Linked DNA regions of Macaca fascicularis. The protein of the gene in region 1 purifies or fractionates together with the protein of each later gene. This does not show direct contact. Links are inferred from orthologs where the notes say so. Each region holds a gene or a part of one and is shown on either strand. Other genes may lie near its edges. The genes, in order: HNRNPR, DDX5 and FUS.

Evidence for each region.
Region 2: the proteins of HNRNPR (region 1) and DDX5 fractionate together in Homo sapiens (co-fractionation; 3 studies listed by BioGRID and IntAct, with this or other methods). This does not show direct contact. The link is inferred for Macaca fascicularis from reciprocal best matches to the Homo sapiens genes HNRNPR and DDX5.
Region 3: the proteins of HNRNPR (region 1) and FUS purify together in Homo sapiens (affinity purification with mass spectrometry; 4 studies listed by BioGRID and IntAct, with this or other methods). This does not show direct contact. The link is inferred for Macaca fascicularis from reciprocal best matches to the Homo sapiens genes HNRNPR and FUS.

What each region holds. Positions count from the first base shown.
Region 1 is NC_088375.1:211,779,089-211,782,798, forward strand, and holds the start of HNRNPR (heterogeneous nuclear ribonucleoprotein R), read left to right. Parts: upstream 1-765; 5' UTR 766-877; intron 878-988; exon of another isoform or gene 989-1,517; intron 1,518-3,710. UniProt on the Homo sapiens protein: Component of ribonucleosomes, which are complexes of at least 20 other different heterogeneous nuclear ribonucleoproteins (hnRNP). hnRNP play an important role in processing of precursor mRNA in the nucleus.
Region 2 is NC_088390.1:71,091,294-71,093,816, forward strand, and holds the end of DDX5 (probable ATP-dependent RNA helicase DDX5), read right to left. Parts: intron 1,688-2,523; coding exon 1,463-1,687; intron 1,236-1,462; coding exon 832-1,235; 3' UTR 529-831; downstream 1-528. UniProt on the Homo sapiens protein: Involved in the alternative regulation of pre-mRNA splicing; its RNA helicase activity is necessary for increasing tau exon 10 inclusion and occurs in a RBM4-dependent manner. Binds to the tau pre-mRNA in the stem-loop region downstream of exon 10.
Region 3 is NC_088394.1:29,374,950-29,378,603, forward strand, and holds part of FUS (RNA-binding protein FUS), read left to right. Parts: intron 1-1,358; coding exon 1,359-1,391; intron 1,392-2,156; coding exon 2,157-2,260; intron 2,261-3,026; coding exon 3,027-3,156; intron 3,157-3,397; coding exon 3,398-3,499; intron 3,500-3,631; coding exon 3,632-3,654. UniProt on the Homo sapiens protein: DNA/RNA-binding protein that plays a role in various cellular processes such as transcription regulation, RNA splicing, RNA transport, DNA repair and damage response. Binds to ssRNA containing the consensus sequence 5'-AGGUAA-3'.

The DNA.
Region 1 (3,710 bases):
ATATCAAGTAGCTCCAAATCTGTGGGGAAAAGGTTCCTGCTCTATTACTTGTGTTATACATTGCTCTTGAGTCATTTTAACGATTTCCCTCACAGTCTGCCACCAACGATGTGTGGACGGCAGCCAGGGAGGGAAAGAGGCATTTCTCCGATCGTTCCAAGGAAAGATTACCTAGACAAAATCCTCAGCAAAATGACGAGCCAAATCATCCTTAAATTGTGTGCTCACTAGAGGCGAAAAGATGACCGAAAGAGGCCCGAACGCGTGGCTATGGGCGTGTCTGGGGCGAACGCCGGCAGCAGGGGTGCGAGGGAGGACTCGCGGGCTAAGCGCGGCCGGTGGCGGGACGCGAGCGCCATGGCGGAGCGGGGCCAGCGCTGACTGTAGGGGGCGGGGCTCTGGATGCGGCCACGCGGCGCAAGGCCTAGATTTTGAGCCTCGCATCGGCGGCAGACGAAGAAGGAGGAGCCTCGTCCACCCAGGACCCGGTGCCCCCAAGCCTCGCCACCACCAAGGGCTTCCACCACAGACCCCTTTGTGTGCCTGCCCCCGCCTCGGAGGCGCCCCAGCCAGCGGCGCTGAGCACCCTCATTGGTTCAACCGACAGCTTCATCGATTGGCTCTCGAGTCGTCCGGCGTGGTCCGTTTTGCCTCGATACTATTGGTCACCTGAGCTGCCTGTCAAGCCGCCTCGCCAAGCGATTGCCCCGCAGCTCGGAGTCCCTGGAAGCAGTTCCGGGAAACCCCGCGTGCTGCCGGGATCGCGTCTCTGTCCATGAGGGGGGGGAGGGGGTGGCGCGCGCGCCATTTCTAGTCGTTTTCAAAGCGCCTCGCGCTGATTCTCACGGGCCCGGCCGCCGGCCCCCGCTCTGCCCTGGTGAGTCTCGCGCCGGCCCGTGGGGGGAGGGGCCGGGAGCCCCGATCCAACCCAACTCAGCCCGGGCTCCGCGCCTGGTCCCGTTTCGTTTGCGCTCCGAAGCCCCCGGGTGGGGGTGGGGACGGGCTGGGGGCGGCTTTGGTCTAGTCCGGCCGCGCGGCTGTGGGCCTAGCCCGGCCGAGACGCCTCTCGCCCTTGCTCTTCCTCCCCCCGCCCCTCCAGCCAGCGGTCCGGCCCGCCGGGCGCTCTCCGCGCGGCCTGCCGGGGCCGGCCGTGCTTTTCCCGCCTCCGCCCGCTGCTCCATGCGGCCGGATCCCGCGAAGGGCCTGAGGCGCCCGCGGCCCTGCCGCTTCTCCCCGCCGGAGCCGCTTCGCTCCCGCCGCGGCCGGCCTAGCCCGAGTGGGATGTGCTGATGATCCGGACCGGCCTGAGGGGGTGGGGGTGGGGGCGGAAGGCGGGGTGCAAATCCCAGGGTTATCTGAGCCAGGAGAAAAGTTTTGTGTGAGCAGAAACCAAAAGGCCGATTTGTGTGGGAAGCCTCCCTCCCCTCCCACATTCTGCATGCCGCGGGCTGAGATTTGAAGGAAAAAATGACTACTAGAGGCCGTGGAACTTAGGCTCCAAGCGGCGCCTGAAATGGGTAATTCTGAGACCGTCAGAGGCGCACCAAATTGGAAAGGCGATCCTTTTTCTTACACGGTAGTAACCGTGTTGCCAAAATTTTTTAAAAGCCCAGGGCTTCTTGGAAGGTTCAGTCCTTTCACACTACCTGTTTGAGATTTTTGCAGTCCTCAAGTGGCTGAATTGATGTCTCATGAGTCAGTCGTAGGATGAGAGCTCGACACTGCTAAGCCATGAGATAACCGTTAGTCTCATTTCGTTGGTTCTTTTAAAGCCCGTCTCTTAATATGAAGAATTTGCACAGGGAGGTTCAGAAAAAGTCAGGGAGGCGTTAGTGCTGACATCCCGAATTTCCCAGCAGCCCTTTTAAATCTTTAAAAATGTCTCCTTTTTTTGCAAAAATGTTTAGATCAAATGACTCCCGTCACGTTAGTATATTTGCTGCATCCAGAAATATGGTTTGGCTGTGTGGCATTGTGTTGAATTGACATGAGTTTCAAATGGTCTCATATGACATAAAAAGTCTTTTTAAAATGAGCACTTTGTATTTGGCTTGAAGAGAGAGGGCTTTTCTTGATCCGAAAGTTTTATTTTCTGGAATCTAATTATTTTACCTTTTTTTTGTTAAAATTTACAAACTTTTTTGGAAAAATTTAACCAATTTCAATATCAACTTGTAGAGCCTTTGCAATGATATGGTAGGCATAAATATTTCTGTCTTGTGCTTAATACACAACTTGTCTTTTTGCTTTACACATACTTAAAAACACCACCTTAACAGATGTTCATTGAACTTTTCTGTTAAAAATTTGCCTCTTTTCTGTGACTAATAGTATTCCTAGGTGCAATGCTGTAAGGGTCTTGTGATACTGAGAACTTTTGAGTTCTGATGATCTTAAGGTAGTATGTGGGGATGGGGGAGCATGGGAAAACAGAACTATATGTTCGCAAGGAGATTTTGGGTTTAGGATGCATCTTTATAGAAATAGGTTGTGTTAATCAGTAAACGTATTCATCTCACACAATACAGTTTCTTGATCAAAAGTGTGACAGTTTCGAATGTTTCCGTTTTTGCTAGTTCATCAGAATTTGAAGCTTGCCTTGAGAAACATCCACCCAGAATTTAACCACAGTCTGCGTCTATTAAGGGCTATCGAGTCTTAATAGTGTTTTGTAATTGTGAGGAGTCATGTTATCTCATTTCCAGAGTAACCCTTTGCATTTTCCTTTCTTCTTCCTACTCTGTACTATTACCTCCTTCCCCTCTTGGTCTTCCTCCCTCTTTCATCAACTTCGACTAAGTATCAGTGGACTTTGAAATGAAAAGAAGTTGTTTTAGGCCAGAAGAGTGCACCTGGTGCATTTGCACAATGTTCGATAAGCTGTCTGGAAGTGTGGTTATCTTATGTGTCTTAGTACTTTGTAGGAGACTTGTATTTTCTTTATAGATGACTAGGTATCTTGAGTTTCATCAAGAAAAGTAGGCTTTTTCTTGAGATCTACCTTTATGTCTTTTATTTAGTATGTGTTGCAATGTCTTGTTCTGCTGCCTATTATCTTCATCACATTATAATTTCACCACAGACAAATGCACTTTAATTCCCTGTCTTTTGAGGCAGTATACAGACTGGCCTTGTATGGTTTATTATTTACTCTCTCTCTTCAGGGAATCAGTCCATTTCAGCATTACCTACTGAATGTACAAAATTATTTTTGGTAGGTTAATCTGAGAAATCTGGCTGAAGTTTAGCCTAATTAGGTAACGTTTTTTGAAATATTTGGAAGAAGTTGTCTATTCTTCAGTATGTTTTTACATCTTTATTTTAGTGATAGGAAAATTTCAACATGTACTTTTTTTTTTTTTTTAAAGCAACCTGAACTATAGCTCACTTAGTGTTTTATGTGGACTTAAAACAATTGTTTCGCTTTTAAACTTGGTCATTTTTTCTTTTAAATCTGTGAATGGGAATAGCGAATTAATCTTAGAACAAAAATTAATGTCAAGTTGGTTTTTTTTTTTTTTGTTTTCATTTTGTGTTAAGTTAGGTGGAGAAAACCCAAACCACCACCATGTTGAACTAGAGAAAACAGGGCACTTACTTCACACTGATACTGTATTTGAAGCAGAGCCAGGAAAATTTGAAAGTCCTTAAATCTTGATTAAGTGGTCTGTGGGTGTTCATTCTGTTTTTAAACCAAAACTTTTTAAAAC
Region 2 (2,523 bases), on another chromosome or scaffold:
CAGTTAAGGAGACTCAAGTTTAGCTCCTGGCCATCTTAAAGAGCGAATGTATGTCTTTCACAGGTTTGTTCAACATTTCAGTAATTCACAGTATAGCCAAGAGCATGAGAATAAATCTCTTGAAAAAAAACCAGTTATTTGGAGCTTTTTAAATTATAAATTTTGCCAAAGTCATCCACATTCTCACATTACATAGATGACTTTGTATCTATTTCACTATTCTCTCATTTAACCATACTAGCAAATAAGGAAAAGGCTATATTAAATGACTCCCCTGATGTTGGGAGCTGACAAAGCTTTTATGCAATGTAGCCTATAACTAAAAATTCACCTAAATCAGTTCATTGACTCCTGCAATATAGTTCATTGTAAAGGGCCTTCTGATTCCCCCTGCCTCCCAAATTAAATAAAAAGGAGCAGTCATTTGTTTTCATGATTAAAAACAAAACAAAACAAAAAAAACCAGACCATCTAAGCAAAGTTTTACATAACATTATATATATAAAATAAAGTACAATTTCCACTTAATTCAGTCTTCAAATATTTTTTATTGGAAGGCCATGCATTGCCTTCATTTATTGTATTTCAAATCACTGTACATTTACTTTTGTGAAAACACTGCCTGCATTTTCTAGTACAAAAAAAACCTAAAAATTGTTTCAGGAATGTAGAGAAATATCCAACTTAAATAGCGAAAAAGTGCACCATAATTACTGCTGCACTGCAGTCATTTCTGCAATTCCCATGTTTCTTAAATAACTATCTTGTCAGATAACACACAATATAAAGAGCAATTATGAAAAACAGACATTTACATATACTTCTAAAGTCTTATTGAGAATATCCTGTTGGCATTGGATAACCAATCATAGGTGCGGCTGCAGTAGCAGGATATGCATATGCCTGTTGGTTCATACCATTGTGCATATTTGGAACATTACTTCCGTATTGCTGAGTGCTATCATAACCATTCTGGTAAGTCCCTGTTGGATTACCAGTCCTAAAACTGGTCTGTATACCAGCAGACACAAAATTACTTCCAAAGCTCCCATTAGTGTAATTTGCAGCACTGTAAACACCATTCTGAGTTTTTGCCCCAAAATCTCTCTTTAGCAGGCTAGAGTAACCTCTGTCATAATTTTCCCTGTCTCTAAAGGTATTAAATCCACCCCTTTTGCCCGCAGAGTATCTGTCCCGACGGTCATCCTTCATGCCTCCTCTACCCCTGGAACGACCTGTCAAAAAAAAAAAAAAAATTGCAAATTGATCAATTATGTCTATGACACAAATCATTGTGGACAGAAAGAATTAGATCTATTCATTGCAGGCGTGAAATGGTTTTACAGTTTTTCAACATAAGTTTTCCGTTCAAGGTTTTACTCACCCTCCAATACCATTTAAATGGATTTGTAGACAACGATGTGACTCACAACTACCAACATTTCCTATCAGTCATCCTTACCTGAACCTCTGTCTTCGACCAACTGAAGCAACTTGGGATTAATTGCTTGATTAGCTTCACGAAGCACAGAGATAAGGTCGCTCACTTGCTTTATGTTATTAGGTGTAAAGAAAGTGTATGCTGTGCCTGTTTTGGTACTGCGAGCAGTTCTTCCAATTCGATGAATATAATCCTCTGAGGAGTTAGGGTAGTCATAATTGATGACAAATTTCACATCTTCCACATCTGTAAGGTGTTGCAGTGTGGCAAAATAGCAATGTACGGAGTTTTGCACACCACAACAGCCAGACCAAAAATAAAAAGTTAGACAATTGTATTCCCAAGAAGGTACGGGCTGCAAAAAATACAGTTAAAATGGTTATCCATTCCCTGTAGGAATACCATTGAGGTTGAAAAAAGAAAAAAAAGCACATGTCATCTGTATAAGTTATCACCCACCCAGTGACAGACCCTGTCAAAAGGAATGTGTATTCCCTAGCACATTCCCAAATCAGCAAGTTCCCTTACAGATCATCAAGTGACATCTGAATGCTTCTGCGCAGTAGGGCCACTTAAAGTTTCACAGCAACCTCTTCATGTGCTCATTTTGAGGACCTTGAAACAAAAAAATGTACAAGGTCCTTTGCATTACACATTCATCAGAAGTTCAAACTTCTGGCCACACTGCTTGTCTTGCCAAGACCTTACAACCGCAGCTGCAAGAAAACATACCTGTCCCCCAAAAGTTGTTTTTATGCACTGTGTCTCGTCTAGGCAAGCGCTTCCAAGAAGCCAGGATTCACTTGAGAATGTGTCTCTCTCTGGCAGGTCTCGACATGACGACTACTGTGTAGGTGAGGGAGGAACTTTCAAAGCACTTTCTTTTCCCACTGACTATGTGTGAGAAGTTGCTCCTGCTCTAGATCTCATGTGCCAGTACTCACCAATTTGTAAAAGGCTTAGTACCTTTTAAAGCTGCTCTCTCCATTTCAAACTTGAACAAAAATTTCATTGAACATTGAAGTTTGGAAATATTTCTTCGACATTTCAGCAAACTCACTGAAACTCAAAGACCCACAGAT
Region 3 (3,654 bases), on another chromosome or scaffold:
GTAGGGTAGAATGCCACCTGTTGCCTGGTGTGTGCTAACCTGGAGCAGGCAGGGGTAAGATTCAGTAGTCGTCTTTTACCAAATGGGTTTGCCCCAGGTTAATAAGAGGGGTTTAGTAGGCCTTGGACAGGGCTGTTGCCACACCTGGCACTTAGTGACCATCATCATGAGAAACTGGAGAGTGCGTGCTGGAACACGTGGTGCCATCTTGACTTTAGGATCCTTTTGATCATTGTGTCCAAGGCTTGTGTGTGTGTGAGAGTGGGAGACAACCTCCAAATGTTTTAATTCTGGAAGAGGGATGTAACATTGCCCTAAGAATGGTGAAGTTGGTATACCTTTATAAAGTACGGAATGGTGTCAATGAATGCAATTCTATGTATATGGACTTAACTCAGATGGGCAAATAGAAACTAGCTCTGGGAAGGAACATGTGCACTACTTCAAGAAAGATTGGAAGCATGTGTGGCTCATGGGAAATAACCAGGTCTTAAACAGCACAAACTGAATTCATGGACCAGGAAGGTCTTAAACAGCACAAACTGAATTCATGGAAAAATGACAAATTTGAGAAGTCTCCCAGTAAGCTGGAACTTTTCTGGTTTGGTTAACTAACAAAAGGTTTCTTGATTTGTCTCAACATTTAAAGCCAAAGGCTTGGGTTCATAACTTAGGTGTCATTGCGTGTGGGTACAATATTTATATATGGCGAATTCAGATAAACATTGGTCAAAGATGGTCTCTGGAAAAACAAAATAGAGGCTGCATTACGAAAGTAAGATTTCTGGTCTGTTCCCTGGGACATGCTTAAAAAATACAATAGCTATTATGTATGGTTTTTATTTTCATGTGGTTTTGGGGAAACATAACACGGTTTTAAGGATGGTTTCTAAAGATGAAATTAAAAATTGTTCCACAAGGGATAAGTGTCTTTGGTAAAGTTGGGAGAAACTGGATGGATGCACATCTCATGGCTGGTGGCGAGCCCATCTCTCTTCTCTCGGGTGAGAGAACTGGGCCAAGCTGAGTTGGTTTGTTCACTTTAATGGGTCTCCCTTTCCCCTGCCATCTGTGCTGAGGACATTTCCCAGCTTGAGCTGGGGGAGGCAGCATTTTCTGAAGTGTGGAGTTGTCTCTGTGGAGACTCAAGTTACAGATCTTAAGGGGCCTGCCTAGAATTTTCTCCGGGCAGGCGACCCAGGAAAGGGTTTGGAGTGAGGCTGTGAGCACTTACATGATACTTTACAAGTTTGGATTTGGTGTTGATTTTTTTCCTTGTCCATTTTTTCCTGTTGACTAACAGCTCCTCTTCCTTGTTTTTGTTTTTTTTTTTGTTCTTTTTTTCCATGTCACTTAAGGCCCTCGGGACCAAGGATCACGTCATGACTCCGGTGAGTTCACAGGTGGTGGCATGAAGAGTGGCTAAAGTGGTATCAAGACTTTGCCTGGATATTCTTTGAAACTATTATAAAAAGGAAACTGAAAAAAAGGGGATAGAGAAGGAAGGGAGTTAGGTGTATCCTTAGCTAGCAGTGAGAAGTATTCATTATTAAGTATTTCTCAGAAATACCTGGCTTGCGGGTTCCACCCCCAGCGATTTAGAAGGTCTGAGATGACCCTGAAAACCTACCTTTCTAAGAAGTCCCTAGTGATGTCGATGTGTCTGCACCACACTCAGATGGTTTTTACAGCAGTGGTTTTTTAAAAATGTGGATCATGTCCAAGCTGGTAAATAAAAACTAGTGAATGAAAGACCAGACCACATGAAGTAAAGCATTGAATTCTTGTTTAGATTGTATTGATGTTTGTGTACTAGATTTGAATGTAAAATGGGTCTCTTAATTCGGGACCTTCAACTGGAAGTTGATAAATACTGATGGGCTTTTTTGTGTGGTCTTGGGCATTTCACTCCTGAGCCCGTGTTTCCATACTGTATACTGTGTGTTAACATGTTTCAAAGGATAATTTTCAAACTAAATTTGAAATTTATCAGCGTGGGTGGCATATAGGGACTCAAAAGGGATGTGGATTTTTCAGTTGTCTTCATAAACCAAATAATACGAGTTGCTTGATGGATACTAGGTGCTTTAGGTTTTTTCCTATGTCATTTATTTTACCTTTTCACATTCGCATTTTCTTCTCTGTTCAACAAGCAGAACAGGATAATTCAGACAACAACACCATCTTTGTGCAAGGCCTGGGTGAGAATGTTACAATTGAGTCTGTGGCTGATTACTTCAAGCAGATTGGTATTATTAAGGTACTTGTGGAGCGGAGTGGGTGCCTTCTGTCAGTGTTGCAGGCTTTTGGATTTCACACATTAGTAAAAGCAAGTCTTTAATGGTTGCCAGCAGTAAAAACAAATCTTAATGGTTGTTGCCAGCTTAATTTGTTGAGGAAAGAGCCTTAGTTACTGTTTTCTAAAAGAAGTTCTATCTTAACACGAAAAGTATAACTGATAAGAATGCCCTGAACTCTGAAATTTGTACTTTATAGTAACTTTTAGTTTTATCCTTCAATATTGGAGGGAAAGACAGTTTTCCTCAATGGAGGTTTACATGTGAGGTAGGACGAAGTAACTAGGAAGAGGGGAGCTGAAGTTTGGGAATGATAAACCTCATGTTCTAGAGGAAGAATATGGAAAGGGAGTACTGTAGCCTTTAAAATTGATGTTACCGGCCGGGCGCGGTGGCTCAAGCCTGTAATCCCAGCACTTTGGGAGGCCGAGACGGGCGGATCAAGAGGTCAGGAGATCGAGACCATCCTGGCTGACACAGTGAAACCCCGTCTCTACTAAAAAATACAAAAAAACTAGCCGGGCGAGGTGGCGGGCGCCTGTAGTCCCAGCTACTCGGGAGGCTGAGGCAGGAGAATGGCGTGAACCTGGGAGGCGGAGCTTGCAGTGAGCCAAGATCACGCCACTGCACTCCAGCCTGGGCGGCAGAGCGAGACTCTGTCTCAAAAAAAAAAAAAAGAAAAAAAAAAAAGAAAATAAAATTGATGTTACCTCATTTTGCTTTCTTCAGACAAACAAGAAAACGGGACAGCCCATGATTAATTTGTACACAGACAGGGAGACTGGCAAGCTGAAGGGAGAGGCAACGGTCTCTTTTGATGACCCACCTTCCGCTAAAGCAGCTATTGACTGGTTTGATGGTATGTATGAGAAGGCTGGCAGAGGTGGGGCTGAGGATATAGGGCAGCAAGTCATAGGAAGCAAGTCATAGTTTGAGGGTTCATTTGAGTCTTCCGGCACTTTAGCTGCGGTTTCAAATAGTCTCATTTTTGCTTATGAGTCAGTAGATTATAAACCATTTGAGAAAGGCACGCTTATCTTGTATTTTTGGATTAATGTATCTTGCATTTAAAGTCTCTTGATACTTTTTTATTTCTCTAGGTAAAGAATTCTCCGGAAATCCTATCAAGGTCTCATTTGCTACTCGCCGGGCAGACTTTAATCGGGGTGGTGGCAATGGTCGTGGAGGCCGAGGGCGAGGAGGTGAGGCGCTACCTGCTGTTGGTGCAAAGGGGGGTGATGAGAGTAGAGAAGATGGTAAAGGCTTGCATGGAATGGGTTAGGTTTACCAAACTTGGAGGGGGAGCAGACCCATACTTGTTTTATCTGCATTAGGACCCATGGGCCGTGGAGGCTAT